Linked DNA regions of Struthio camelus. The protein of the gene in region 4 interacts with the protein of the main gene of each other region in a pairwise test. Links are inferred from orthologs where the notes say so. Each region holds a gene or a part of one and is shown on either strand. Other genes may lie near its edges.

Region 1 (7,707 bases), on a different chromosome or scaffold from region 4:
TGCCAATTATCCACTCAGAAGCATAAATGAAGAGAGCCATCCTGCAGACAGTCACTCCCAGGTCCTCAGGGACTTTGCCATAAACAGCATCCCTTTGCTCTCTCCTCCAGGCCCTGCTTAGCCTGCATCAGGAACTGTCTGGTGCTTTTTGGCTCTGGAGCTGGGTTGTCGCTGGCGCGTGCCCAGGCCATGCACGCTGAAGGGTCTAGGCCGTGGAGCAGAGCTGTTGCTACCAGCAAAACCTGTGAGCCCATCGGTTCTTGCTGCTCGCTGCACAGCACAGCCTGGCCCAGCCTCCTGAGCAGCCCACCAAGCTCCAGGAGGCTGGACGGAGCCATGGCTCTGCAAACTGCGTCTCAGGAGCGTTGCTTTGATCAGAGCTCTGGGCAGGATGGCACATTGGCTGCTCATCATTATATGCCTTAAATTTGGGAGAGCTGGCCAGGACCTGGCATAAGTCTCGGTGACCCCTGTGGTTCTGCAGCAGCCTGAAGCTGAGATGTTAGGAGAAAGGGAAGTCTTCAGCTCCAGGCGAGTGCCGGAGCCCTGAGCACATCCCTTCCTCCCAGGGCTTGGGCTGTGCAGGGTCACAGCCGGCTTTGTTGGTGCAGCTGGTCAGCCTCAGATCAAAGAGCTGTTTGAGCCAAAGCCATGAGAAGCCTCAGCAGGGACTTGCTCCCCTCCTCTCAGGAGCTGCTTGCTGTCCTTGCTCTCTGCCTTAGCTACATCGCAGCTATGCCCATTCCTGCCTGTGTACCTCACTGATCCAGACCCGGGCCCTAACCCACTGGCTTGATCTGTGACGTGCCTGGTGAGCTCCTGTCTGATCCTGGTTACCATCGCCAGAGCAGCTCTGCTCTTCTTGTTGGAGTACTGTGGTACTGTGCCCTTGTCTCTGAAGCTGTTGCCCCATGCCTGCCCTTGGATCCAGTTGGCCTTCCCTTACAGAGCAGTCCTTGCTGCTCCCTGATCCTAGCAAATAGAAGATGAGAAACTGGCTTGTACTTACTCTGGAGTTGCTTGTGAGAATAGTGGTGGAGGAAAGCGAAATTCTCACCTGCGAAGAGCTTCCCCTAGTCCTCCTCCTGGTCAAAGTGGGGACAAAGAGAGTCTCTTAGATTGAACATGGGAGCTGTGAATATCCAGAGGTTTTACAGTTCCTCCTTCACTAAAAACATCATACAGCTTCTGGAAATAGTAGCAGACAAGCCACCTTGTCCCTGAATGCTTCTGTCCCTTGTCTGCAAATAATACAGGACCATGCCAGGTCAGACCATCTCATTTGCGTCGCCAACAGTCACCAGCAGATACCGTGGGAAAAGTATAAGGATAGGAATAAGTATGATGGTTCCCCCAACACTTTCCCAGCTTCCAACTATTTTCAGATTAGAGATTTCCTGACCTGGATGTGGCTTTTTCTATACAACAACTTTCCATGGGTTTCTCCTTGGTAGACCTGTCTTGTCTCTCCTTGAGCGCAGACTACCTTCCAGCAGCCATGGTATTGGACAGCAGCCTTTGACAAAGCTTGAGTCTTTACCAGGATTTATTTACTATTTATTTATTTATTTATTTACTTGTCACGTTCATTACTAAACTCTAGTTACGGTGTGGTAAGAACATAAGTCTTTTCCTAGGAAGACAATTTTTGACTTCTGTGACACAAAGTAGCCTTTCTGTATAGCTAATGTAAGCAACATGCAGCAATAGTCTTACTGAAGTGATACGTTGTAAAGACAAACTGAGTACCAAAGGCTTTGTTTGCAGGTGACTTTGCCTTAGTTTACCTTATGCGTTACTCATCCCTACAGAAAGAGACATCCCTTTTCTTCAGAGGGCAACACCCAACGAGACGCAGTTCAGCCAGCTGCCAGAGAGCTAAAAGTAATGTGGGGATACATGCTATACAAGCATCTGCCAATCTTGCTCTAATAGATGGGGAAAGCTAGGCCCAAAAGTTAACCGTCTGTTGGGAGTAAGAGACTGTGTGAACAGTGGCAAATCTTGTACAGAAAAGCTTCCTCCCACTCTGCTCTGCCTGTGATAGTATGATACAAGCCAGAGACACGTAGGCCTCCCATTTGGAGAAGGACAAGCAAGAGGTGAGACTGATGAATGACTTAGGTTGACTTAAAGTAGTGTTCCTTGCATCTTTTTGTAACTGGAAGTTACGTGTTTTTATAGACCCTGGTTTTGACAGATAGTCTGCAGCCAGTCCAGCTGCAGTGGGTTAAGAAAACAGCATCTCACTAGCTTCCCCACTCCTCTTGCAGCAGAGGGCACCTGCACCTCCTTCACCGCACATGTCTCAGCTTCAGCTCCTCATGGTTGTGAACAGGGAGGCTGAGGAGATGGCACATGTCCTATTTGCCCCCCTGCCTCCCCCTGTAACATGCACCAGCCAGACAGAGCTGATACTTGGTAGCATCTTAAATCGCTGCATCTAAATCTGCCTGATCCTTCTTGCAGGTCCTTTTATTAATGCATACTTGATAGCCCCCCGACACGGAGCTGCTTTAGAAAGAGTATTACTCAGGAGCATTACAGTTCTCTTATATGCTGGTTTTCTTGCAGCTGTATCGACTGGCAGGTGTTGACACAATCATTGAGCGCATATGAGCGAGTGACCAGTGACCTCAGGGGTGTCGACGCTGTAGCTGCAGGCAGGCTCCTGAGCTGTTCCTCTGTGGTTCCCAAAACAAGGTAATATCACCTTATTAGTCATGTTTTTCTGCTGAAGTCAACAGGTCATTCCAGAAACAAACACAGATCAACTCACTTCAGCAGTGGGAGCAGCTGGGGTAGCCCCAGCCCTAGGTATCAGGTGCCACTGTGGGGACGGGGATGGGTCGAGGCTTGCAGATCTTGTCCACAGGAACACGTCAATATGAAGCTCATGTGGTGAGGAAGAATGGCCGCACTGAACTACATAGTTCATTCAGTTTTCAAAGTAGCGAAGTATTTGCTCCTTATATTTTAGCAGTGGCTATTACAGTGCCAAAAAGCAGTATTCAGGGCACTGCATCAAAATGTGTTCTCTCTGAGCGCATGCAAGTTAAATTATCTAGTCAAGAATTCCACCAAGAAGCTTTATTCAGACAGTAACACTAATCAAACTGCCATGTAGCTCTGTCTAAAAGGCATTCAGTTATGAAGTGTCTACCAAGACCAATCAAATGTGCTACAGAAACTCTGAAAAGCCTATATCATGGGTAAGAAGAAACAGACAAGAAAAGACACGACCACCACTGTATCTATATATCTTACTGAGCGCAATGGATACAGCTTCATGTAAATTGAGTTGTCTCAGATTGGTGACATTCTATTTTTTATTCATTAAGTTTTCTGTTCTACCTCATATATCACACTGAATGGATTTGAACAAAGCTCCTTTGTTCGTGGTAATGGTGTGCGGCTCCTCCACAGGATGGCTGTAACACCCATCTGGCAGGGTTCAAAGCGGTATTGCGCTGATGTCCTAGCGGTTCTGCATAAGCCACAGCTGGCAGCTGCCACCACCTTCCTTGGCTGGTAAAACAAAGTTCTCAGCTACTGAATCTGCTTTAGTGACTCTTTTGAAGACAGCCGGACAGCTGGGTCCAATTTTCCTTCAAAAGAAAAAGTGCTAGAACCTAGAAGCTATCATCTCTGACATTAGCAGTCTTGATAAATACGGTCACATTAGTCGTGGCGTTTGCGCTTTGCATGCTCTGGGCTCCTTCTTCGCTGCCACAGCTAGCAATAACAGCACAGCACACCCAGGCAAAGCAACGGGGGAAATGCATGGAGAAATGTTTATCTGGAGCCCAGGCTGCTTGGATCCAAGAGGGACTCAAGTGCTAGAGTGATTCCTCACAGGAGAACATTTGGCACACAGCTGAACGACAGTGAGGAAGAGCAGTTGTTTTCCAGATTTTGCTTGTTTCCAACAGGCTGCAAGCCTTATTTTGCTAGAACTAGAAGTTACAAGTTAAAGTCATTTGAATGATGCAAGAGGGGACGGGGGAAAGCAATTAAAAGGCCAAGCTGTTGATTGAAGGAAGGGACTCTGAAGGAGAAAGAGAGGGTCTATGAAGAGCTTGTATATGGTTCCAAAGGTCTATTGCAGGACCTGATGTGATATAAGGTGAGCTAGATATGAATGTTACAGGGTTTTATTATTTTTAGATTTTGGTTTCCTTGGACGCTTTTCTTCCAAAGGAGTAAGACCTGGCTTTACAGAAGATGTTTGATCACTGGTTACCGGTGTCTAGAATTACATCACCTCAGTGCGTCCTCTTTTCCACTCTGGAAATACTGAGTGCAATTTTAAGGTATTGTAGGTTGAACATATGCAGAAACCTGCTGTACCCAGGCATTTGCAGATCTGGAAATCCTGAATCTATTTGCAGTGTATCCATAGGCCTACTGTCACAGTTGCATAATCGAGCTGGGGATTTCTAGCAATTTTTCATGATGCGGGGACAATCGGTCGGACTGGCCTAGACCGTTTGTATTCTACGTTACAGCAAGTGTGACACCTCCAGGATACGCACAGCCGCGCTGTGCATGCCTCGTACAAGCGACGTGTCTGGAAAGCACTGGATTACATTGGATTTAATTTCCAGGTACGGCTCAGCACGTGAGCTAAAGTAGATCGAGGGCTTCCCAAGACCTCTGATTCGCCAAATGCTTGTTTCGCAGTGCTTTCCCCAGACCAAACACGGCAACTTTGGCGCTGTGGTTTAGGACGGAAGAGGCCGCCGCAGGTGACCTCTGATATAACCGCAGCTGGAAGAACAACCCAAAGCCGGGTTTGCGAACCAGGCACCGAACCACAGGAGGCAGGTAACCGCGTGGCGCCTTCGGGGAGCGGAGCCACCGCTCGCTCGCGCGCGGCAGCCCGGGTGGCAGGGCCTTGCCGGGAGATTTGGGGTGCAGCCCGAGCCCGCGACCGCCCTGGGGTAAGCGGGGCCCTCTCCCACCGCGGAGAGGCTGCGCATCTCCACCGCCGCCATGCCGGCAGGCTCTCCCCGCGCTGGGAGCCTCAACGTCTCCCCGAGTCTCCCCGTATTTACTGCTGAACCCCCAGGCCCAGGCCCAGGCCCAGGCCCAGGCCCAGGCCGCGGCCGCTCCTCCCGCCCTGCAGGGTGCGCTCCCGCCCGCACCACGCCGCGAAGACTACGACTCCCGGAATGCAACGCGCGGGCCGCCGCCGCCGCCGCCGGGCCGCGTCTCTTGGCGCGTGCGGGCCGGGGCCGCAGTGCATGCTGGGCAGCGCAGTCCCCAGCCGAGGGCACGGCGCTGGCAGTTACGCCGAGGGAGAGAGGGAAGGGGGCGGGGCGAGAGAAGAGCCCGCGCCGCCACTGGCGGAGCCCGCCCGTCGCTCTGAGCGCGTCACGTGCGCGGTCACTTGGCAACGCCGCGCGCGCGCGCGCGCTCCCGCACGCGTTTCCCCCCCCCCCCCTCCGCTTTCCTTCCCCTTCGGGCTCGTCACGGAGCGTCCCGCTTCCCCCGCCCCCCTCCCTTCCCCTCCCCTCCCCTCGCGCGAGCCGCTGCCGCCGCCGGAGCCGCCTCGCAGGAGCTGGGAGCCGCCGCCGCCGCCATGGCCGAGAACGCCGCCGCCGCCGCCGGCCTGGAGAACCACCGCATCAAGAGCTTCAAGAACAAGGGCCGCGACGTGGAGGTAGGCGCGGGGCCCGGTGGGGCCCGGCCGGCCCGGCCTCCGCCTCCTCCGCCGCGGGCAGGCGGGTGCGAGAGGAGGGGCCGGGCCGGGCCGGGCCTGGCGGCGCTCGGCGGGCAGCGGCGGCGGCGGGCAGGAGGCCCGCGGGGTTTTTTCTCCTCCGTCATGCGGGCGCGGCCGGCGGGGGGGGAGGGTTAGCGCGGCCCCGGCGGTGTGCGGGGCCCGCGGCGTGAGGCGGCCGAGCGGCCCGGCCCGGCCCGGCCCGGCTCGGCCGCGCCCCCTCCACCCGGCTGAGGCGGGGGGGGGCGGCGGGGAAGGCCGCGGCGGGCCCTGCGCCGCCGGGATCCGCCGATCCGCCCCTCCTCGCCGGCACCTTCCCCCCCACCCTCCCCTTCCATCTGCCTCCCTGCCGGCCCCTGCCCTCCGCCGCCCTGCCCGGTGCGCTCGGGGCTGCACAATGGTGCCGGCTGCCTTTTGTGCCGCTCCCCCCCCCCCACGGCGGGTCGTAGCCCTTCCGCCCGAGGCGGAGCTCGCACGCCGGGCAGCGGCGGCCCGTCCGCCTGCGCGCCGCTGCACATGGAGGCCTACGCCGGCTGCTAAGGGCCAGGGGGAGACCGCAGGGGCCGCTCCCCCGCCCCCCCCTCCATGGACCTCTCTGCGGCGACCTGGGCCCGCCGATTTTGCTCCCTGCTCTAGCTTAAACCACCTTTTTTTGTGTTTCATATATACACGCACACACACGCATACACATATATATTTTTATGGTTCTAGGTACACAAGGAATCACCTGCTGGGCGTCTCCATCTACATCGGGAAAGAGCGTGGGGCTCTCAGGCTAATGGAGTGTTAGTTTGCTTCCCCCGAGTTTGAGAGAGTCTGGGTGGTGAAAAGGCCGCTCGCTTATTCCCTGGAGGGCTTCTTACAGTCTTGGGGATCTATATGCCATTACTAGGGACATCTTCGATTTTTAAGTCACAACGGAAAAGGAAGGAAATCCCAAATCTTAAGCCTTTAAGTTTCTGTAATAAGAAAGGAAGGGGGCCCTGAAGCCAGACTAGGGTTGAAGTCGAATTAGGATTCACTAGCAGGAGAGCCTAAATATATGTAAAATTACTTTCTTTCCTCCTGAGACTGCTTTTCCTTCCTTCTGCTGATATATTGTGATATTATCACTTGACTATACTTTTACAATCGATGTTGCTGGAATTTTAGTCCTTTGAAAGCATGTTTTGTATTTAAGCATAAATCACACCTCTGCTGCCATTGTTTGGGTGGAGACAGTTTCATGCAGGTCAGGCTTAGCAGCAGTGTCTTTAGGATGACATTCACAATGTAAACTAATCTTTATCTCAATTTCTGTTTAACTTGATGACAGTGATTCTTTCTCACAGAAGACCTTGTGTGTAAGGAGCGTGATAACTTAAGCACTTTTGGCTAACAGTAGTAATTATTTGAAAGTAACTAAAAATTGACCATCCTTCAGTTTAGGGAAGGAGGGGGAGGAGACATGGTAGGTTTCTTTTTTCCCTTCTCATCCAGCAAGACTCTTCCTGCTACTCCTCATTCATTTTGTCCTTGTCTCATCTCCTCGTCTTCGTTGTTGGCTTTGTTGCTGCTTTCTCAGGCGCTGGCCTGAATCCATCAGAGCTCTAAACAGGGAAAGGTTAGGTATGTTCATGCCTAGTGTGAACTGATCTGTCATCCATACTTGCTTATATTATAGCATGCCCACGACTAGGGGAATTAAATGTCTGCCTGTATGGGAGGAAGAGGGGAGTTGACCGCCTGAGCTTTACTGGCATTGGTTATACCAGACCAGCTAAGGTGCCTTAGCTCTCAGTAGAACGCTTGCTCCTGAAACGAAGTAATTATTTTGGAATAGTGTATTTGCAATTATGGAGAATATATCCTATAGGGTTATCTTACAGTAGCCAGGCTGATTGACTTCCTTTTGTAGTTCAGCCCTGAAACTGTTTGCCTGGTGGATAACCACATTAACATTAATGGAACTAAAACTTGCATCCATGCTTTGAGAAGGGGTTGAA
Region 2 (7,353 bases), on a different chromosome or scaffold from region 4:
CGTTTCTTTGAGACGAAAGAGGCTCACAAGAAAAATGTGAAGGCTAGGACTTTGGGTGACAGGCTTTGCTTATTAAAATCGTTTTAGGCCGATTCATTACTTTAACTGACAACAGATTTAAGAAAAAATCAATTAAACATTTGCATATTTCTTTGCATAAATTAGACCTGTCTATTTGCATTATGAAGGAACAAAAAGAAAAGGTCTCTTTGCACTTACTGCTTTCAAGTTGTGAGAAAAAATTAAAATTTAATTAATTACATGTCGTTGCATATGTTAGAGAGAACCCAACTATTTTTTTTTTCCCTGAAAAAAAAAAATCCGCCTTTCCTCCCCCTACTACCCATGTAGCCATAATGCCATAATCACCTCCAAACAAGCCCTTAAAAGCTCGGAATAAAACTCCACTCCAAAATTTATTTCCACCTTCCGAGTCTCGAGCAGGCAGAGTTCATACAACGCGAGGTTTTTTGCCGTTGTTTTACTATTATTATTAAACACTGAATAACAAAACCCCAGTAGATAGGTACTTCATTTTTTTCTAGAAAGCACAGATTGCTAATGGGCTGAGGTACAGGTTACCAAACGGTCAGTATGGTAATAGCTAACACAATGAATCCGGAGAGACAATGCATACTTATTTTTCTTCAGTACTGTCAGAAAGGCGCTTTGTACTTAAAAATGTTCCTGCAATGGGAACCAGATATATATTTTTGCAGCCTGGTTCCTGGGTAGTAAAAGGAAATAAAGCCCAGAAATGATTTTTTTTTTTTTTTCCGTCGAGGTGCTGCATTTCTCTTGGCATTGTCACTCCCAAACTGTTTATCGACATTGTGGTGCTGGTGGGGGGACGAGGGATGGAGAGCGGTGGGAGGGCTGCTTTATAGACAAAAGAGTCAGATTCTTGTACAACTATTCTTCACACGTCCTTACAGACTTATTTTATGGAAAGCAAAAGGGGGGGGATAAATAAATTTAAAAAAAAAAACAAAAATCGCCCAAACACTTCAGCAAAAGGCACAGCTCTGAAATCCAGTTTAAAAAGAGAGGAAAAGAGGTGGGGGGGCGGGGGGGAAAGCTTTTCCCCAGCCCAAAGAGAGGGGAGAAATGGGATTTTTGTGCACTTGGAAGAAATTTGGGGCAAGCCACACACACACACACACATACACACACACAGGGACTGAATGCAGACTGACAAGGGAGAGCAACAGAGAAGCGAGGCTCCCACTGAGACCTCCAAAATACCTATTTGGGTCTGGACCAGGGGGGTGGAAGAAGGGCAAACGGTGCAAATCAGGTTGCGTTTTCCCCTGGCTCATCCGGAGGAGGGAGAGCAAAGAGTTTAGGGACTTCCAGTTTGGGGGTTGCAAGGGGCAGGAATGCGTCTGGGTGACCTTCACGCCTTGCTTTTTGTTTTTTTTTTTTTTTAAAAAGCTTTTGATTGCTGCTGTTTTGTTTTGCGTTTTATTTTGGTTTTTAAACCCATCTACCCAGCCTATTCTTAAGAGAACTACCTGTGGATATTTATTTATTCTGCTGGGGCTTATTGAAAATCATATATTCTAAAGGGGGGGAGGGTGTGCGTAGGTAAAAATTACTTTATTAACTCTCCATCTTTATTCAATATTCCCTCAGCCTTGGAATAAAGTTGTTGCATCAGTCTGAACTATAAATGTCAAAGCCCTGCATGAGTCTGAGGTGTTTGGGCAGAATGAAGTATAGCTGGGGAAAAGGAATTTATTGGATATATTTAAATCAATGTTTTGGGTTCCGGAATACATTTCTATTCATGTCTTTTCCTTACCTCTGAGCTCCCATCCCCCTTCACTCCCCAGCTCTGAAACTATTCTGGAGCGAGCAGGAATTTTACCTGCCATGTATGTATATACATATAGATACCTAAAGTCCTCGATATATAACTTTAGGAAGGCATCAGCTTTGTCAGGGCACGGGGGGAAGCAATTAGTCAAGCCCTGCGAATCAGATGCCAATAAAAACAGGAACTGCTAAGTAACAACCAAGAGAGCAAACGAGTTATTCCCTGTCTGAGTGCCAACATATATATAGATACACATATATATACATATATAAAACGCACACACACACACATGCATATGTATATATATGGGGCTGGCTCTTTGCTTTCGGAGGGGATTCCACCATAAATATGCCAAGCCTCCCGAGCCTGTGGCCAGCTAAAGCAACGTGGTCAATCAGTGGCCTCTGCGTCCTCCTTCGGCCGGGCAGCGTGGTTTTTTGGCAGCCCCTTGCCCTGCTCAGCAGCCCTTGCCCCAGCCCTCCCGTCGCCTATATGTACCCTGTAGACTCGAATTTGTGTGAGCGTCGCAAAGTCACAAATTCGTCTCTAGGGGAATATATGGACGATGCCAGAGCCTTGTAAAGTTCTGCTTGCCTTTGATGCCTTTAATTGCAGCCGTCCTAATTAAATTCGCAAAGCCGGGTTATGTCATTTTAAAAGGTAGTTATTCAAGTGCGGAGCGGCGTTTGCCGTTTGCCAGGGCAGCGCCGGAGCTGGCTTGTTAAAAGGTAGAGTGAAATAACCGTGATGATTGGGGGGGGGGGGAGTGATAATAATCAAAATAAAATCCCATTATTACTTTTCATCTCCAGAAGAAACAGCAGCTACCGCAAACACAACTCTCAGCCAAGAGCACAAAGAGCCCCGACCATTTCGCAGTGACTGATTTATGGCGTTTTACAACCCCATAAAAAGCTGTAACAACCAGCCAAAAGCCTTCGACACCGCTGGCACATTTAGTCTAATAAATAAAACATAAACAGTTAACTTTATGTGTCACTTTTATTGTTATCAAGTAAAATATGGCAATGCCCTGCAAGCTATGATTTTCGACTATAATTGTTATCAAGCCCAAGAAGGGAATACCCCACCTCCCTCCTCGGCCCCTCTCTTTAGTGCTAGCGATAGATAAAAGCCCTAATTGAAGGAGCTCCGCGCAACTCCCCAAAATGTTGCCATCCATTTGCAGCCTCCCAAGCTGCGCAGGGCGCATCCCTCCCCCGGGCGCGGGGAGCCATTTTCAGCTGGGCAGAGCATCCCTCCACCTTGCCCCTTTCGCCTCCGCCCAAAAGGAAAAAAAAAAAAAAACACAAAAAGGGGAAAAAGGAAAAAAGAGGGGGAAAAAAAAAAAGAAAGAAAGAAAATCGGCCTCAGCAAAAAGCAGGTTGAATGCCCAGCCCAAGGGCAGGCTGGCCTGGGCTGCCCGCCGGTGCGCGCCCTTGTGCGTGTGGGTGGGTGGCACCTCCGCAAACGCAACCCCCCCCCAACTCCTTAGCCCAGGAAAGGAGAAGGGGGGGGGGGAGACAGCAGCAGTTTGGGGAGGTGCTGGGAGATGGATAGAGGGGGTGCCTGCTGCCCCCCCCCCCCCCGAGAGCGTGGGAAAGTCGGGAGAGCATCGCCTGGCCGGGCAGCCCCCACGGGAGCTGCTGGCGAGCCGGGGTGGGGGGGATCTCCCCCCCCCCCGGTAACTCTGCGAGGATTTAGAGCCCGGTAGATAACGCCTCTCTCCTCCGCAGGTAACTTCCCCCCCCGCCCCGCCCGCACCGAGAGATGCAGACAGTGTTTAACCCCCTCCCCTCCGTTTTTTTTTTTGGGAGGGGTGGGCTTTTTTTTGGGGGGGGTGGAGGGGAGTGGGCACAAGTCCTGGCAGTGCCACCAACCTGCCTTGTGTCCCTCCCTTCCCCAAATTTCCCACCCCCCCACCAAACACACGCACAGCCGGGGGTGGGGGGGTGCTGCTGCAGAAGGGGGTGAAGGGGCTGCGGGCTCCGCAGGGCGGGCGGCCGCGGCCCGCTCGCACTCACACTCACACTCACACCGGGGGGGGGGGGTGTGAGTGTGTTTGTGTGTATAGGTGTGTGTGTCCCTCCATGTCCCCAGCTCAGCCCCTCGCTGTAGGGGCGGTGGGGGGGGGGACACACGGGGGATGCCCGGCGCTGCTCGCCCCGCGCCCCCCCCCCCACTCACACTCACATCGGGGGGGGGGGATGGAGGTGGGGTGTCCCTCATTGTTCCCAGCTGAGCCCAAACCCGGGGTGAGGGGGGCGGGTGGTGGGGGGGGGACACCCCGAGGGGGATGCCCCGAGCCCGCGGCGGGGCCGCGGCGCCCCGACTCGCGGCCGCACTCACACTCACACTCACGGCCGCACAATTTGGGTACATTTTTGCAAAACCTTTTGGTTCCTTATCCGGGGACTGGGCTGGCGGGTGTGATTGGCCGGGGGAGTCACATGGTGAAACTAACTTTACGGGGTCGCCAGCTAGTAGGAGGGCTTTATGGAGCAGAAAAACGACAAAGCGAGAAAAATTATTTTCCACTCCAGAAATTAATGATCATGAGCTCTTATTTGATGGACTCTAACTACATCGATCCGAAATTTCCTCCATGCGAGGAATATTCGCAAAATAATTACATCCCAGACCACAGTCCGGAATATTATAGCCGGACAAGGGAGTCCAGCTATCAGCATCACCATCAAGAGCTGTACCCAGTGCCACGACCCTCCTTCCCCGACCGCCAGTACAGCTGTGCTAGTATCCAAGCTCCCGGCAACCCGGCCGCGCACCAAAGGGGACACGGGCAAACTCCAGGAGGCCAACACCTCTCAGAGAAAGCACAGCAGCTCTGCGAGCAGGCTGCTCTTTCCACCTCTTCCTCCACTCCTTCCCCAGCCCCTCCAGCCTGCGGCCAGCCAAACCCCGAGCATCCTAACAGCACAGCTTCCAAACAACCCATAGTGTATCCCTGGATGAAAAAAATCCACGTCAGTACTGGTATGCAACTTTTATTTTCCTCTCCGTCGCGCTGCTCGCTGATTTTTTTTTTTTCCTTCACCCCATGCTCTCTCTCTCTCTCTTTTTTTTTTTTATTTCCTTCCCTTCCATGAGAGTCTTTGGGTTAGCACAATTGAACTGGATTTACGACTCCGAATGGGTAATTACACCCACCATAAATTTTATAGCCGAGCTACTGTGGGCAGCCTTAGCCATGTGGCTCGTTCTGTTATGTATGTGTGAAACTCCGAAAGCTTTGTAAGGGGTGCATAAATAATTCAGTCTTTTGAGCCAGGGAAACCCCTTCCTATTAGAATAGAAACTCTTGAGCTGCCCAAAGTTCTTTATTACCTATTTAGCCTAATACTTTTCCCTCTCAGCTGCTCCAGTTGCCTCTCTCTCGTGTCTCTCGCTCCCTCTCTCTTCTATTCATGCTAATTTTGCTGTTTTGTTTTGTTTTTTCCCCCCCTCCTTTTATTTTTTTTTTTCCTTCTCCCAGTGAATCCCAATTACAATGGAGGCGAACCCAAGCGCTCCCGGACAGCTTACACGAGGCAGCAGGTTTTGGAATTGGAAAAGGAGTTTCATTATAACAGGTACCTGACCCGGCGACGGCGCATCGAGATAGCCCACTCGCTGTGTCTCTCGGAGAGGCAGATCAAAATCTGGTTTCAGAACAGGCGCATGAAATGGAAAAAAGACCACAGGCTGCCCAACACCAAAGTGCGGTCGGCGGCGGCCAGCGCGGCCGCCCCCGCCGCCCCGGCGAGCACGGCCGCGGGCGAGGAGCTGCCCTCCGCCGCCGCGCAGGACCCGCGCACAGAGGATATCACCAGGTTATAAACACCCGCACACCCGCACACAAATGACTCTGGATTATTTATAGAATCTAATATATATATATATATATATTTTGGTTCTTTTGTCTTTTTTTTTTTGGGGGGGGGGAGGTGTCTTCCCTTCTCTCGTAGTTTTATTATTATTATTATTATTATTATTATTGTTATTATTATTATTTCCTGTGCGTATAAAAAACAATGGGTCTCCGTAAGACCGCAGGCTTTAGATGCATGTCAGATAGCATGAGGCCAGGTGTCTGTACCTGCAGGTTTTTTTACGCCATTTCAGGGTTTTATTTATTTTTTAAAAGGGGGGGGGAGGAGGGCGGGAGGGCAGGGTGGGGGGGGGAGGAAGAGGTGAATGTTCTGTTCGACGAATTTAATGAAGAAATGCTGATAATATTGGCACCAGAGACAAAAAGCGAATGTAGGTATTTTTTTCCCCCTCTGCATTACAAATGCACAATGGTCGAAGGAGCTATGAAGTTCTTTTGTAGAAATGTGGAAAAAGCTTAAAAAATCACGATTTTAAGAAAAAGAACAAAACCAAATACGAGACAGCGTACAAGGGTGGACGAGTCTTTGCTGGAAAATTGAAAAGAGAAAAGGTAGAGAGAGAGAGAAAGAAAGAGCGGCATATTAAAAAAAAAAAGCAGAAGGTTTTAAAAAAAGTCAGTAGCTAGTTTTTTTTGTCGTGGTTATTTGTGTTTTTGGACTGATTTTACATGATCATTGTAAACTTGCAATAAAGAGTTTTAGTGTGTATGTGAAAGTCCCAGTGTTCAATAAACCAGTCAGTGTGAATTAGTTTTACTTTCATGTCTGGTGACTTATTTTATCCTCACATTTTCCCCCCTTCCCAAACTCGCCCAAAATAATAGTAATAATAATAATAATAATAAAATCCTGGGACGATATATAATGAATCCCATGTGCACGAGTTACTGCTCTAAGTTAAGTTTAAACAAACATAAAGATAACTCTGTACTCCAGATTTTATGACATCACGAGGCGGCCAGTGACTTTAAATCTCAGACCCTCCCAACCCTGTATTGGGGGCGAAAAAAAAAAAAAAATCTGGTTTTCAGACAAGAGCAGCGCTGCAGATTGGGATTAGCTTCCATTCATGCCTCTTTATTTTGTTCTTTCCATCCAATATGAAATTGCCTGTTTTAACCTCGTCTCCCTTCTTTGAACTTTCCTGGTGTTTATTATTATTTGTATTTCGCTGTCGTGGCGTGGTCAGGTCGGTTCGTTTACCCATGAAAGCCAAGAGGGCGTAGGTAATTTTTTAGAGGCAATGAAAAGGCTGTTAAATAATAATAATAATAACAATAATGGTAATAATGGTAGTAATGGTGCTAATAACAGTAATTCATCGCTCTTGGCCTTTGGAGGAAGTATGCAAATTGGCAGCAGTGGGGGGATTTTAGAAATAAGCTGTTTCCTCCCCCCGGTGCAGGGGGTTGTGGTTTTCCCTGGCAGCGCAGGGAAGGGGAGCAGCCCCGGGTGCCTGGAGGGGGGGGGGCTGAGGTTGGGCACCCCCTTTTTTTAGGCCCTGGCTTTTGGGGAACTTTGCTGCAGGTCCCTGCTGCAAATCCCTGGCGCAGGCAGAGAGGCAGAGCTAGGCCTGCTTGAAGGCATCCCTTCCCCAAGCCCTTGTGTGCTTGCTAGGTGAGAGCAGAGTCCTCTGGAAATTAA
Region 3 (7,155 bases), on a different chromosome or scaffold from region 4:
ATGAAGGTCATCTGCAATAGATCCCATGCCTGAGGCAAGACTTTTAGCAATCAGCTCAACTCTCACCCTCCCACTCAACCAAAGCACAGCTTGTCTCCCCATCCCTGTTAGTCTTGTTTAAAAAAGTGACTTGAAGGAAAGGAACTGATACACATAGCACGCAGTTCAGTTTTTCAGAGTTACTTTCCTGGATTATGTTGCTGTGAATAAACACATCCCACGCCCGCACACAAGCAGAAAGAAGGAAAAAGAAAGAATCTCAACCTCTAACATTATTTAGACAAAGCTATTCCCTGGACCAAAAAGAAGACTGTGTTATTTAGCAGCAATCTAAAGTCCTCTAAGGTCTGATCCCTGCTCTGCCATTGATTCGGGGTACCATATTCTGCAAAGCGTTTTAATCTTATTTTACCAATAGGGAAACTGGGGTGAGGGGGAAGGAAGAAAAGCCTCACGGCACTTTAAAGACTAATTATTTGTATTGTATCTTAAAACAAGTAAGATACTACATAGGTCCTAGATATCTCTAAGTGTACTATCACTAACATGAAAACAAATTTAATTGTATTGATTTGCTTAGAAATGGGAGCATCATACAAAATTAGTGTGGGGGGGTACACACAGACATGCATGCAAAACTCTTGACTTCTCTCTGAAAAAGGTTCCTGAACTTCACAAAGCCCTCACAGTGCATATGGCAGTGACCCAAAGCCATGGTGTGCTGTTCATTTATCACTCACATGCTTACTTTTCACTATTTGCTCTGCCCCCTCTTCAGTCTCAACTAAGCATCCAAACCTCCTCAGTCTTTACATACACACAACTAGATGTAAAAGCTGGGATTCAGAAGCATGGACCACGGTTCTTGAACTCCACACTGTTATAAAGAGTGCTTATATATTGCAACAAAAGGTTTACAAAAGCAGCAGTGAGCACCACCACACTCTTATGGTCAAAAGCCCTGCAAGGAACTATACTTGCTGGGTGACATCGCTTACGCAGTGAAGTCAATGAGATATTGCTACTGACATGAGGTGTTAAGTAACATGGAACAATCCTGGCCCAGGAGTGTCACAAAGATACACTACTACGGGACACTACTGCCATTACAGAGATGTACCCTGGCAAACATTTTAAACACAATGGATCAAAAATGCTAATATTGCATCCACAGAGGTCTTTCACCTAAAACAAGAGGTACCAAACACGGAGAGGTCAAGACTAGGGGCAGCAAGGGGTTAAAGCATTCTAAAATAAGGAATCTAAGAGATTAGCTGATCTGATAAAGACTTTTAAGCATTTCCACTGAAAAATAATGAAAAAGGGAATGAGAGCAAGAAATCGTAGCCTACACACCTAGACCGTCTGCCATACAGGAGCCATACCATGTGAGGCTCTGCACTGAAGCCACACAGCCTTTGAGAATCCCTCAAAGTCTGACTGCAGACAATATGTTTAAGTCTGTCTTTCAGGATACCAGTTTTTCCCTAAAGAAATATGAACAAAATACATTGTGCAAGGGAGAGGAAGAGGGAGGAAAACGCTTCTCAAAGCAAGCGTTCAAGCCTAGGCTCTCCCTGCTGGCAGGGAAACGGCTAACCACGCCTGACCGCCTGTCCTCAGATCACCCCGCCGGGTGCCGCGGCTGCAGCGGCCGTTATGTGCCGGGGCACAGCGGGGGAGCTGGCAGGCACTCGGGCAGGGACCGGCAGCAGGCGGACGGGAGATCCCCCACAGCCCTGCAGTGCTCCGGCCTGGATCCTTTCCCCTTCCCCCCTTTATCCCTAGCTAGGAAGCGAATAAAGGCAGGCAGGAGGAGGCGAGGGGAAGCTCTCCTCGGCGGCCCCGCTTCCCCCACGCCAAACGGCCGAGCAAGCGCCACCCTCGGGAAGGGGCGGCGGGGCGCCCCCGCGGCGGCCGCCCGCTCCTCATGTCACTCGGGGGCGGCCGGCCGGCCGGCTCGCAGCGGCGCCGCTCACGGGGCGGGCACGGCGGCAAGGGGCCAGCCCCCGCCATGCCTCCCCCCCGCCTCCGCACGGCCGCCGCCCGCCCGCCCCGGCAGGTGAGCCGGGGAAACATCGGCCTCCCGGCCCGCGCCTCTGCCGGGGCTCCCCCGGGCACGTAACGGTCCCAGCCGACCCCCACGCCGAGCAGAAAACGGTCCCAACGGACCCCGCCCCCACCCCGAGCAGGTAATGATCCCAACGGACTCTCACCCCCGAGCAAGAAACGGTCCCAAAGGGACCCCGACCCCCGCCCCCACGCCGAGCAGGAAACGGTCCCAACGGACCCCCGCCTCCGAGCAAGAAACGGTCCCAACGGACCCCGACTGCCGCCCCCACTCTGAGCAGGTAACGGTCCCAACGGATGCCGACTCCCACCACCCCGAGCAGGTAACGGCCCCAACGGACCCCCATCCCCAGCAGCCAGCGGTCCCAACGGACGCCAGCCTCCCACCCGAGCACATAACGGTCCCAATGGACCGCCGCCCCCCCGCCCCGGGCAGGTAACGGCCACAAGGGACCCCCCCCACCCCCTCTAATCGCTCCCCGAGCGGGTAACGCTCCTACCGGAGCGGTCCCCGGGGGCGGCGGGCGCCTCGCGGCGCGCGCGGCGCTGCCCTGCCCTGCCCTGCCCGCCGCCCATCGCCGCGGCGCCGGAGCGCACGTGCCCGGCCTCGCCCCGCGCTGCCCTCGGCGCGGCGGGCGCCGGCCCCTCCCGCCGCCCGTGCGGAGGCTCTGCGGTGCCGCCCGCGCAGCCCGGAGGTGCGGTGCTTACCGCGGGCGCATCTCCCATCTCCGAGCAGGGCGAGCCGTGCATGGTGCGGCTCCCGCAGACGGCAGCGATGTGACCAGGCTGCCGGCGGCGGCAACAGCAGAAGCAGCAGCCGGCACCGCCTCCGCCTCCTCCCCTTCCCCCGCCCGCCCGCGGGGCCGGCAGCCGAGCAGCCCGCGCGCCGCGGGAACCGCTCCGAAATACTCCATGCAGCAGACAGCGCGGGCGGCGAGCGGGGGGGAGGGGAGGAGGGGGGGCCGTTCCCCACCAATCACAGCCCGGCCCGGCCCGCGCCCGGCCAATGAGCGGCGCCGACCGGCGTGATCGCAGCGTGCCGCGGGGCTGCCAGCAGGAAGGGCGGCGCGTGGGCTCGTTCCGCGGCGGCCCAGCCGGCGGCGGGCGGGAAAGGCGGGAGGCGGGCGGAGGGGGGGCGCGGCGCGGCGCGGCGCGCGCTGGAAACTAGGGGAAAGGTCGGCGCGGGGGGCGGGGCGGCGGCCGGCCGGGGAATGCCGTGCGGGGGCGCGGCGCGGCGGGGGCTGGGGCTGGGGCGGGGTGTGCCGCGCCGCCGTGCCGTGGCCGCCGTGCCGCGTCGCTCGGCACGCGGGCTCCGCCGGGCCGGCAGTGCCCAGCGGACCGGGCCGGGCCGGGCCCGGCGGCGGCCGCCTGCCCTCGCGGACGCGGGCAGCCGCGCGGCCCCGCCCCGAGCCCGGCCGAGCACGTCCGCGCCGCGGGGGAGGCGGGAAAACGCCTCAGGGAGCCGCGCTGCGCTGCGGCCCCCGGGGCCGGGGCAGCGACCGCAGAGGGAGAAGGCGAACGCGCACTTCGTCCGGGACAGGGCGCAGAGGCCATCTTGAAAAAACAAACCAAAAAAGCTGGGATGCAGTTTAGAAGGGATAATAAACTAGGGCAGGCTGTGCTGTCTCCCGTACTTTTTTTGGAAACATCCTTTTCTCTGAGATTTGTACATTCCTTTAATTCTTTTTCGTTAAAGAAATTGCTGGCTGCAGCGTGGAGCTTAGAAATGGGGCCTCCTGCCTGACTATGTAGATCCAGATCAGCAAACTGGATCAGTGAAAAGATCCAGGATTAAAAATAACCCTACCCCCTCAAAAAGGGGTCATTAATATATATATTTTTTTCTTTGAGTGGCAGGTTCAGGAAGGGAAACTAGCCCACCAAGAAAGCACCCTGCCAGTTTAATGTCCTGTGCCCGGGCCCTGTGGGTCGGACAGGCACCGCAGCTAGCAGCAGGGAGAGCGCGAGGCCTTGTGGCAGGGTCGCGTGGTCAGTTTAAACCGTCCACCATGATGCCACACGCTGGAGGTCAGCAGCGCCTGGCAGTGGGTTTCCAGGAGGGCTCGATGCCTGTGCAGGGCAATAGGCGCTCTATTCCTGTCACCCCACTGAGGGCAGCTGTGTCCTCTGCCAGTCAGTGGGGCAGTGGTGGGGAGCAGCGGGGTCTGAGTGATGCTCTCGTCTCATCCTGTGCTCGGCGATGCAAAACTGCTCTCCTCCGTGGAGATGACCCAATGGACTGGGACCTCCTGTCGGTCTCCTGGACAGTCTGGCCCAGCTGGACTTTCACAATACAGAGAGATGAAAGTTTCACTGTAGTGGGCACTGGGGACTTGCGTGACATCTGTTTCCGTTCCTTTTGCTTCCCGCATCTCCTGCGTTCCCCTGGCCTTGTTTGAGGAGCAGGGCATGCCTGCCGGGATTCCCCCCGCTTAGCGCCCCTCTCTGGCACCTTGACCTACCGCTCTGAATTCACCTGAACTCGTCTGGGTTTGTGTCGTTCCCTTCCTGGCCTAACAGGAACAGCCTTTAATTCTGGGCCAGTGTCCCTACGCAAGGGGTCCCTGCAAGAGGTCCTTGCCACGATCATGTCATGGTGCTATTGCCAATGATACACATTTTAACAAATCTTCAAATTGCAATGGCTCAAGAGCTTACAAGATTAGAAGAAATGTATATGCTTTCTTTTTTTACTTTCTCATCCCTAACTCCTTCCTCCCTTTTTTAATGGAAGCTGAAACTCATCAGTCACCAGGTGACAGCAAGATGTGGGGTTTTAATGAAAACCCTAAATCCTCTGCAAGGCTTCTGCAGAAATTGCAAGGGCTGATAAGTTTGCCGACAGTTTAGGCTATCTCACCTGAGCTCCTGTCCCCGACAGTACTGGCCATCAAAGAGGGAAACTCGATCTTCTCGTGACTGAAATTCGTGCTGGGCTGATGTCTCCTGTAATGTGCAGAGGGTTGGAAAGAGTGATCAAGCTCGGAGGAGGAGGGGGATGCAAGGTAAAGCCCTTCAGCAAGCTCTCACTGTCAGGAAGGTGTCTCCAGACTTGTCTCTGAAGAAACAGTGGGGCACATGCTCCAGTTTCTCACTTTCTTAAGTGATTATATTTCATTTGTAGGTGTTGAGGCCAGGCCAGCAGCCCTCGAGCTAAAAGGTTACAGAAGTGGGAAAATAAAACTGAGAAATGCCACTCTAGGGAAAGATATTTGCAGTGCACAGGCTAAAAACATCTCCAATTCAAAGGGTAGCTGTCTGCTTGGCAGAGCTGCTTCAAATTCCAGCTAACTGCCTCTTTCAAACATTTCTTCAAAGGTGTCCTGAAATAATTTATAAGGTGCCACTGCAAGCCTGCAGAGCCTGCAAACTGAGTCCTGGCATAGGGAGCTGCAATGGAAGCATCCTAAACTGGAGCCCAGAGGCACAGCAACAAGCTGTGGTATGTCATCGAGGATCAAGGGCGCACGGTCCGAGTTTTAGACAACTGTTTATGATGCTAACCTTTTCCCAGTCTGGCTGCCCTTGGATGCTTTGCTGCCAACTCAAACAAAACATTCGCAATAATAAACATTTTTCTTGCTGAATTATCTCTACTTTTTCCTTCCTCAGTTTCTCAAGGCTTGTAACATCCTCCTCATCAGTGTGGAGGACTCAGGGGGCTCATCCTAAATCTTCTGTCTCCTTTCCCCATTATCTTTATTTGACCCCTGGGCTCACTTTTTCCTTCACTGCTCTTCCAAACCCAGATTCTTCCCCCCATCCACATAATTTCTAAAACTCCACTCCGAGCTCATCTCTGGCCTTCACTATTGTAAATTCATGGACTGTCGCTTCCCCGGTGTCAGTATTACTACTTTCCAGTCCCATCAAAAAACAAATTAAAATGATCTCCCTGGCTCATCTGTCAGTGTGTTCCACTTGTTTCTTTGCATCTCTGCCCCATGCCTCCCATATTTGATCTAATCTCTTTTTCCCAGTGCCAGGCCTCCTGTTACCATCTCCCTTGAGGAGGAACGCTGTGATTGTGCTGCAAGGACTACAGCAGCTTGTGGATCTACAAACCTTTCACCCCAGAAGGTCATACTGAGTTTGCCACATGCAGTTTTTCCTGTCTGGAGCTTGTAACGAGCAATCAAGGCATTGGCCAAATGGCTTTCTATACCTAAAGTACTTTTTCGTCCTAACAGCAGTAACTAGCTCTAACATGAAAGACAAAAATGAACAGGAGGTTAAAATAAGAAAGGATCTGTCCTGTTTACCCCTTTTGCAATGGGCACAGGAAGCCAAACTTCCTTCAGACATGTCTCATTGGATGTGAGTTTCTTCTTTCTGAACAATTTCTCAACCATGACCTCATCAATTGAGCAGAAAGGTGTCTGACCCCTTCCTTAGGAAGCTGTTTTGTCACGATCTCCTGGGCTTTATGTTTTCTGCATTTATACGCTGGGCCACCCTCTCTTTGGTAGGTGCCTCGGGCCTGGCGCTGGAAGATGAGTGGCCTCCTTAGGTGCTTTGTTCTCTAACTTGGTGCTTTTGCTCCCCGGAAGAAGTCATTTACAATGACTGGGAGAGGGAAAGAGCTGTATCTAAGCAAATAGTGTCAGTATTTTGACGTCATCTCTGCACCAGCTGAGATGCTCGTGCCCAGCTCCTGAACAGAAACCTATAGCACTGAGCTAGGCACTTTAGTTCCCCAGGCATTAGCAGGACACGAGTAAGGTGGTTAGACAATGCTGAGTGACCACGTCCTGGCACAGCAAAGGACACAAAATTCAAGGGCCCTCAACAGCCAAAGGCGTCCTGCCTCTGCAGCTGAGTGGTCATGGTCTTCAGCAGGCAAAGGGCAGACTTGCCATGCTGGTCCTGCTGCCAGGACTGCATATGAATTTTCCTTTAAACAGTCACTGAATGAAGCTCACAGTCAGTTAAAGGAGCAGGGGGCAGGCTAACAGGCCCATCAGTCCTACCCATGAAATGCATTTGCACAGGCTACTCCAGTTGTCTGAAAGATGATCCAATCTCATTTCCCCAGCCAGGATCCACAAAGTGACCCAATTCTAACTGCTAGTAGTTGGCACTGAC
Region 4 (7,786 bases):
CTCAAAATAGAAAAAGCTCTTACCTCCCTGACAAAAGCTTGAATTCAATTACTATTTTAATAATAAAGCTAGGATATTCGTTTTATCAAGACCACAAAAGTCATTTATCTTACAAGAATAAAATGAAAAAAAAAAACTTCAAAACATTGGTGCAAACAATTATGTTTTACTGTACTCCAGTTTCTCTGTGATGTTATAACATTTCATAGCATCAGTCAAAGAGCCCTTAGCAGGACTCATTCACTAACCAGATACAGAATGCTCAGTTTTTACCAGCAATATTTTTCAAAGGTAGTTTTTGCCTATTCTAATAGGAAAGTGTTTTGTGTGGAGGTTTTGTTTGTTTGTTTTTAATCTTGTAGAGGTAATATTATGTTGTTAAAATTTAAGGTAGCTTATTTTGAAATAAGAAAAAGAGTAGAGATCAGCAGCGATCTTACTTTCATGGTAGCCAAAAGACATTGCTACTGCAATAGAGGGTATACATCCCAAGCATCTCTTTCACATGGATTTTCATTGAAATACTCCCTATTTAACAATAGGCTGTCCTCAAGTTTACATTCCCGCAAGCTCTTTCCATCCTCTTCGTGTTTGCATCTTTTTAATTGCAGCTTCTTAAGCACTTGAAAACATAAAATTTCAAGCCTGCACTTCCTAGACATCTTTTTAACTGCAATCCATTTTACTGTTTGAACTTAAAAACAAAAACAACAAAAAAACCTCTGCCCACTTACGTGTACCACATAGCAATACTGTCTAATAAATTCTGTAATAATGAGATTACTCTTCAACTGAAGGAATGTCAGCCTGTCATCTAGTTTAGGCAACAAGGCAACTCCAATCTAACAGACAGCGTTAAATGTCTATTTAACGAAACAATTGAAGAGTAAACTATTAGCACTTTGCCTATGACATTCACCAATTCATTTGTTCTCTCATTATCGACTGAGAGAGTGACACTCCTTTTTACAGCAGTACACGGATAAGAGATAGGAAGTTACCATACAGAACAACAAAAGATTTAAGTGCGACTTATACACAACCACAATTAAGACAATCATTTCTCCCAGGAAGGTAAGGAAAACGCATTGTCATTTTTCCTTTCAAGTCCATTACCACAAAACACAGACAGAAGTGTGAATTACATTCAAGATGTCACCTGGTATTTAACCAGAAGTTTGGGAAACTTCTTCAGCAAAGACTGCCACAAGGTCCTTTCACAGGCTTTGGTGAGGCTTAGTGCTATTACTGAATTTGTATAGTTCCTGGAGGCATGCAACACTATCAGCTTTCTGAAAATATGCAGTCTATTTTTAAACACAAAGCATAGTCAGCAAGAACAATTACAAACCTTGGTTTTTAATGGTTTGAGTATACCAGGCCTAAATTCAGAACCTCAAACCAGAAGCATTACATCCCCTCACTGAGCATCACATCCCCTCACTGAGCATCACAAATAATTAACAAGCCTTTCTTTAAGAACATGATCTATCTTACCGATAACTTTTTAGATAGATTTTTTTTCCCCACTCCATATAAGAAAGATTGGAAATAGATGTCCACCTACCATGTCACATGAAGTACTAGCACACACACAAAAAAAAAAAGCACCTCATAGAGCAATAAGTCCCTGCGAAACAGAAAGACATCTAAAAAGAACTGGCTCACAAAGGAGGGATGAGCCAACTTTTTCATCCGTTATGCCCTGAAAGTGTGAAAACGCACTGAGATTGTTTGAGACAACACTCTCCAAACAGTATGAACCATGATAATTTAGTTGGCAAACATATCAGAGTGTACTGTGGGAGCAGGTGGCTAAGAGCCCAGCTCCACTGCTTATCATCGTCTGCCAAAACACTCAAACTGCCAATTTAGAACTTACCTGCTCCTCAGCCCTTCTGCTTCTCCTCTTTCACTGATATCTGGAGCAAAAACAATAATGTGACTCACGTATTTATCTAGTAAAAATCTCAGTGCTTTTTCACCTGTTCAATAAAGTTTATTTTTAGAGAACGCTAATGTAGCGGGCAGCACTCTGGTACTGAACAGCTTCGTGCCTTTGTCCTCCAATAAAGCACTAGGATGGGACACCAGAACATCACACGGATGCAAAAAGATGCCTCTTCAATGTGTTTGCCCCTAATGTTTTCAGAAAGCAAAAGGACATCAGAAACGTTTAAATTAATTCTTCTTGGTAATCACCACAGCAAATCAGTCACAGGACAAGATTTCAAATGAAGTTTGTCATAAATAGACATTCACGTCAACTACCCCAAATGTATTCAGAGCTTAGACTTTAAGTCATGCTCATTTTCTGCTGTTTTTCAACAGTGTGTTAGCTGAAAATAACATTTTGCTTTCTAGAAGCAGCCCATGAAAGCGATACAGCATCGCTCTCTCTCTTGTCCACTGTCCGAACCCCTGTATGGTCAAATGCATTTACCCAGAAAGTTACCGCTACTTTTAAAATTCACAAACAAAAAACTAGCGCCAGGCAGCGCTCCTAGCCACGTCCACAAGTACAGCCTCCCGCAAGGAGAGGAAAGCGCCCCGAGGGTAACTCCTCCGGGGCAGCGCCCGGCTACCAGCTGTCGCTCAGACCGTCAGCAGCTCCCGAGCGGCAGCAGCCCAGGGAGGAGGAGAAGGAGGTTGGGGAAGACATAAGATAAGACTTCTCCTTCCCCAGGGGAGAATGTCACCGAAATGTTTCAGGAGCCTGCGGGGCGCGGGTAAGAGAAGGGGAAGGGAGCCCTCCCCGTGCCCGGTCACTCACGGTCTCTGGAGCGGCTCCTCGGGGATAGCAGCCGGCCCTTGCTGCTGCTGGAAGGAGCGCAGCGACTCGAAGGCTTTCATCAGCTTCTCCATGGTGGCCATGTCCAGTCCGCTCCGCTCCGCCCGCGCCGGTCGCGGCACCGGCCCGACGCGCCTCTCCGCCCTCTCGCAGGCGCCCGCCTTCCTCCTCGCGGGCCCGGCTCTGCCCCGCCTTCCCCCGCGGCTCGCCCGGCGCGCTCAAGCCAGCCGAGGCGCCGCCGCCGCAGGCCGCGCCGGTGGCGGTCGCTGCGCCGAGCCGCCCGTCACGGCCGCAATGAATGAGGGAGACGCCGCAGGGGGCCGCGAGCACTCCCCTGCTGCCCCGCCGCCATCTTCAATCCGTCCCGTCATCCCCCACGCCGCTGCCCCGCCCCCTCCCTGCGCTGCTCCGCCCGCTCCGCGGCCCGGTTCCAACCACGGGCAACGCCGCGCCCAGCGCGCATGCGCAACCTCCCCCCTCCCAGCCGAGCCCTGAGTCACGTGCACACCCCTAACGTAGGTACATGCACACCCAGGCACGCGGGCGAGCTGAGGGGCGGGGCAACAGGGAGAGCGACAACCTCGCTGACCAATCAAAAAGAAGATAACTCCGCCGCTTCCCAAAGGTCACAGCAGAGCGGCTGAGGCAGACGCCAGCAAGTGGCGCGGACCAACGGCGATCACGCGCCCCCGCCGGCCCCGCCCCTCGTCGAGCGCGGCCGGCGCCGCGCCCCCTGCTGGGGGAGGGGCGGCTGCCCCCGCGCTGAGGTACCGGCCCCCGCCCCGCTGCAAGTGGGCGCATGGCGGCTGTGCCCCTTACCCCTCCGGCAAGCCTGCCCAACGGTAGCAGCTTTTCCGTTTTTATTTTAGCCTGCTCCGGGCCTGAGGTGTCTGTGGAGAAGAGGAAACGGTTACGGGAGCAAGATATTTAATCCTTACCAACCTACGGCTTCCAGCACTCCTCTCAGGCTTCCTGCTTTGCCCCTTCTGAGGACGTTTTGATACATTTTATACGCACTGAAGTGGTGAGAGAGCCGCTCCTGTTCTGAAGTTAAAACAACGTGCCTGCAAAGGGGGAAAAAAATAAATCGCAAAAAAAAAAAAAAAACCCGCGGTGTTCCCTATGTCCATCTCTGTGATGGAGCAGAATTTGAACTTCGGCCCACGGGCACAAGTTTCCTACCCCTATACAACTCATATTCTAGCCTTGATGTAAACGCTGGAAAAGCCATAAACAGCCTTACAGAGAACAAGTGATATGGTTGTTGCCAATTAGTCCATAAAACATTTCTCTGACACTTCTATTAGTGTGTTAATAAGATTGACTTTGAGGAACGTTTCAAAGGGTATCTCTACAGTACTGAAAGCAATCTGAACTATAACAAAGCCCCAATTTCATTATAAATGTGTGACAAAACATATGTACGCTTTCAAATTGAGAACTTTTAAACTTGCAGAGTTTTCTCCAGAACATATGGATGATCATTAATTTTTTATTCAGCAAACGATACATGAAAAAAAAAAAAAAGACGAGTGGAAGGCTGCATTCACTACCCCATAATTGCATGTACCACTCCAAACTTTGAAATAAGTTTAAGCATGTTTAAAAAGAGCATAAGCTCTTATCAAAGACTGAACAAGCCACCTATGAAGTCAGGCTTTGCACAATTGCTTTGAAGCTTTAGATTAAAACATGCACCAGTCCCCTAAGGGCTGCTGACTCACGGGCAGATATGCTAAGGCAACACACGCCTCTAAAGCAGCACTACTCTTTGCTCTTGTCTTCCCAGACTGTCTTGGCGTTTGTTACACACGAGTTGGGATAACTGGAAGAAAAGCACCCAGGGATATCTTGGCTTGGGCTTTTTCTTTGGCAAGTGTGATAGTAATAGGTTCTCCCAATTCAAATTGACAGATACAGGCAAAAACATGGATCACGTCACTGGTCACAAAACAGATGGGGCTAAAAAAATAAAGGCACGTAAAACTGGCAAGGGGCAGAAACAAGCAAGCTGGGTTAGAGAGCGGCAAGTTTTGTAAGCCATCATTACCATGAAGAAAAAAAAAAAAAAAAAATCACATTCTCAATGGAGTAACAACCAACACACAAAGTGTTAACTTAGTAAATGATGATAAACCTGTCTCCACCTCCAGAAGGAAAACAGAAGAAACAACGCTTTTACCCTACCTAAAAGGAAGACCATCTAGGTCACGAATGTGGAAAGGCTTCCCAAGCATAGGCTTGCGAAATACTTTTAACTACTGAAGGCTACTTCTTCAGCGCGTTCAAGAACAGGTTAGACGAGCACGTCAAGAATATTTTTGGCCTCATCTCAGTACAAATGCTTCTCCTAAAGTCAGTCTTGACTCTGCATTTCTACATTTCTGTTGCTCCACAAACACAAGCAGGTACTTGGCACTACTAGGATAAATCGTCCAATAGACTTCATGAGACTATACAACTCATGTAGTTGGAACATATGCTCAGGTATTTTGCTATATGCCATAGCAGAGTTATACTACCATTAAAGTCACTTAAACACATGCTGTTTTGTATAGCAATTGAGTGCTTATTTCTTCAATTCAAAAGTTACAAAATCACAGGGAAAGCCATTGCATAAAAACAACAAGGTTTCGAAAATTTAGATATACAAGCAGCTTATTGTTGAAAAGCATTCAAAAAAAAGTCTGACTAGTGACTCGCCATAAATTCTCTCAAGGAGCGATGTCTAGGTTCTTTCCTTTCATTATGGACAATTCAGTATCTGCAAGACTAATCACAAGCACAGCTACTCCTGATCAGTCTTGCACTCACATTCATAACGTTAGCACAATAAATATATTAACAAAAATAGACAATCACCATAATTCTCCATTTCCACACCAATATGTATGCAAAAACTAGAAATCGGACTAATAATTCAGGTATCAACTGAGCAAATACAACAGAGCTAGGGTACTCTCTGCTGGATCTGACAGTCTTACATTGGTAAAGAAATTACAACATATAATACACATTTTCTATTTCAACAAATTGTGAGTTAAAAAAATATATATACATATATATAATTTTTCCATTATCTACCTCAGTTGCCAAGAGAGACATGGTGAATAAATCACATTAGACAATAATACATGTGATTTAGACATGCGGCAGTGTTTTGCTTTTATTTCGGAACAACAAACGCTAGAACCTCCAGGAAAACAGCTCATACAAGAACAATTCAGTGGTTTGGAAATACTGGAACCAACGTATCACATTTAGCCATCAAAATAGTTATACTTGGAAAGAACTCTGGTGTTCTGGACACATGTAGAACATGTGAGAAATTACCTGTGTCACATGCAAAACTTAAATTAAGTTACACCATATGGACAATTACAAAAAAAAAAAAAAAACACACATACATACATACAGAAGAGACATCATTACCACCAAACACAGGTCATTCAAAAAACAAAAACCTAGAAAACCACCAAAAAGCACATAAATTTATCTTGAAGATGTTCTCCATTAAAGTTTTAAATTAATTCCAACTTGTGAGTACTTAGAGAGAAGTATTTTCTGGAAGTCAACATGAGAATAGAGGTGATAAATTATTATAATACTAAATTGTAAACAATAGTGAAATACTACTACTTCTGTTGACTTATTTTCAGTAACTTGTAAACAATATTTTGGAATTTATAAACGACAGTGAGAAATACCTTCCATCTATATTATTTGAAAAATAATTGAAGAGTATTCTAAAAATTCATTTTTGCCTTCAGATCTATTGTTTTAAAAACGATTTTAAAAAGATATAGCATTTTTTATTAAAGATTAAGGTTTGACAATAGCTATCTCCTTGTTTCTGAGATACCACAGGTTTTCCTATTTCTATTGTACAGTAATTATTTTTAAGTGCTCTTTTTTTTTTTTTTTTTTTAAATAGGGGCTGTTTTGATGTTGTTATAATACAAAAACATGATGCCATCTTTATTATGAACACTACCTCTGCAAAACTTACGTTTTTATAGAAAGAAAGCAACCCTGAGGCATGAAGATTTAATTCTATTGGTCAGTCACAACATTCAAAAATAAACTGATACTGTTATATTGTTTCACAGTTTCTGAATTTTGAGCTAAATATATATATTCATGAGGTATGAATAAGCAAACGCTAAGACTTACACACAAAAATACTTGGAAACAAACCACAGACAAGAATGATCGATCTCATACAAGTAACTCCATAGGAATTCCATAAATTTTACCCTATTTTGTACCAGGAGAACAAAGCAGTCAGGCTGTTGGATTGTCACATTGCTTTGCAGATTTAATGTATTTATTCCCTGTCCATGTACTAGAGTTAGTAAATTGCACAAGGAGTTAGGTCATACTCACTGCATGGAGACAAAAGGGACAAATTTAAAGTGGAAAAATGCCAGCTGAAACCTACTTGGAAAAAAAAAAAAAAACCACACACAGGATTTAGGTCCTAATCCTGCAAATATATAGTTACTCAAAAAAAAAGTCCAGAACATTAGGAACAACTTGAGGACTGAACCTAAATAAAGCTTCATTAAAAAGCAAAACAACTTTTGTGCATGGTCCAAATTTCTTGTTAAAAGAAGCAGAGGAAAAAGTAATTTAAGGAGCAACCTCTTAGGAGCAACTGCCCTTTTCTCATCATCTAGTCCATTTTCTTCACATGACCTGGAGACACAGTGTTAAACTTCAACACTCCAAAATGGGAGCGGGAGGGTAGGGGTGTGTGTTAATTTGATCTTTTTTGTTAAAATCCCTCCTCCCTCCAATATGGAAAGAACATTTTGAAAAATATGGTAAATGTAAATTCAGATTTCCTTTACTTGTCAATAATTCCTATACTTTCTTCATAAAAATTACTCAGCTTGTGCCCATGGTATTCTTCAATTTCAAGTTGCTCTAAGCAGGCATTAAAGCCAGGCTGCCAGGTCATATGCCTAGTGTTAATACTATCACCTTTGTCTC

What was found.
Region 1: the proteins of HTT (region 4) and KPNA3 interact in binary tests that used the Homo sapiens proteins (3 or more experiments, as listed by UniProt). The link is inferred for Struthio camelus from reciprocal best matches to the Homo sapiens genes HTT and KPNA3.
Region 2: the proteins of HTT (region 4) and HOXC4 interact in binary tests that used the Homo sapiens proteins (3 or more experiments, as listed by UniProt). The link is inferred for Struthio camelus from reciprocal best matches to the Homo sapiens genes HTT and HOXC4.
Region 3: the proteins of HTT (region 4) and KLF11 interact in binary tests that used the Homo sapiens proteins (3 or more experiments, as listed by UniProt). The link is inferred for Struthio camelus from reciprocal best matches to the Homo sapiens genes HTT and KLF11.

What each region holds. Positions count from the first base shown.
Region 1 is NC_090942.1:192,846,286-192,853,992, reverse strand, and holds the start of KPNA3 (importin subunit alpha-4), read left to right. Parts: upstream 1-4,693; 5' UTR 4,694-5,584; coding exon 5,585-5,665; intron 5,666-7,707. UniProt on the Homo sapiens protein: Functions in nuclear protein import as an adapter protein for nuclear receptor KPNB1. Binds specifically and directly to substrates containing either a simple or bipartite NLS motif.
Region 2 is NC_090969.1:3,002,244-3,009,596, reverse strand, and holds the start of HOXC4 (homeobox protein Hox-C4), read left to right. Parts: upstream 1-4,351; 5' UTR 4,352-4,368; coding exon 4,369-4,813; intron 4,814-5,312; coding exon 5,313-5,649; intron 5,650-7,353. UniProt on the Homo sapiens protein: Sequence-specific transcription factor which is part of a developmental regulatory system that provides cells with specific positional identities on the anterior-posterior axis.
Region 3 is NC_090944.1:24,675,930-24,683,084, forward strand, and holds the start of KLF11 (Krueppel-like factor 11), read right to left. Parts: upstream 3,005-7,155; 5' UTR 2,821-3,004; coding exon 2,779-2,820; intron 2,352-2,778; exon of another isoform or gene 2,279-2,351; intron 2,193-2,278; exon of another isoform or gene 2,047-2,192; intron 1-2,046. UniProt on the Homo sapiens protein: Transcription factor. Activates the epsilon- and gamma-globin gene promoters and, to a much lower degree, the beta-globin gene and represses promoters containing SP1-like binding inhibiting cell growth.
Region 4 is NC_090945.1:76,792,788-76,800,573, forward strand, and holds the start of HTT (huntingtin), read right to left. Parts: upstream 3,003-7,786; 5' UTR 2,875-3,002; coding exon 2,774-2,874; intron 1-2,773.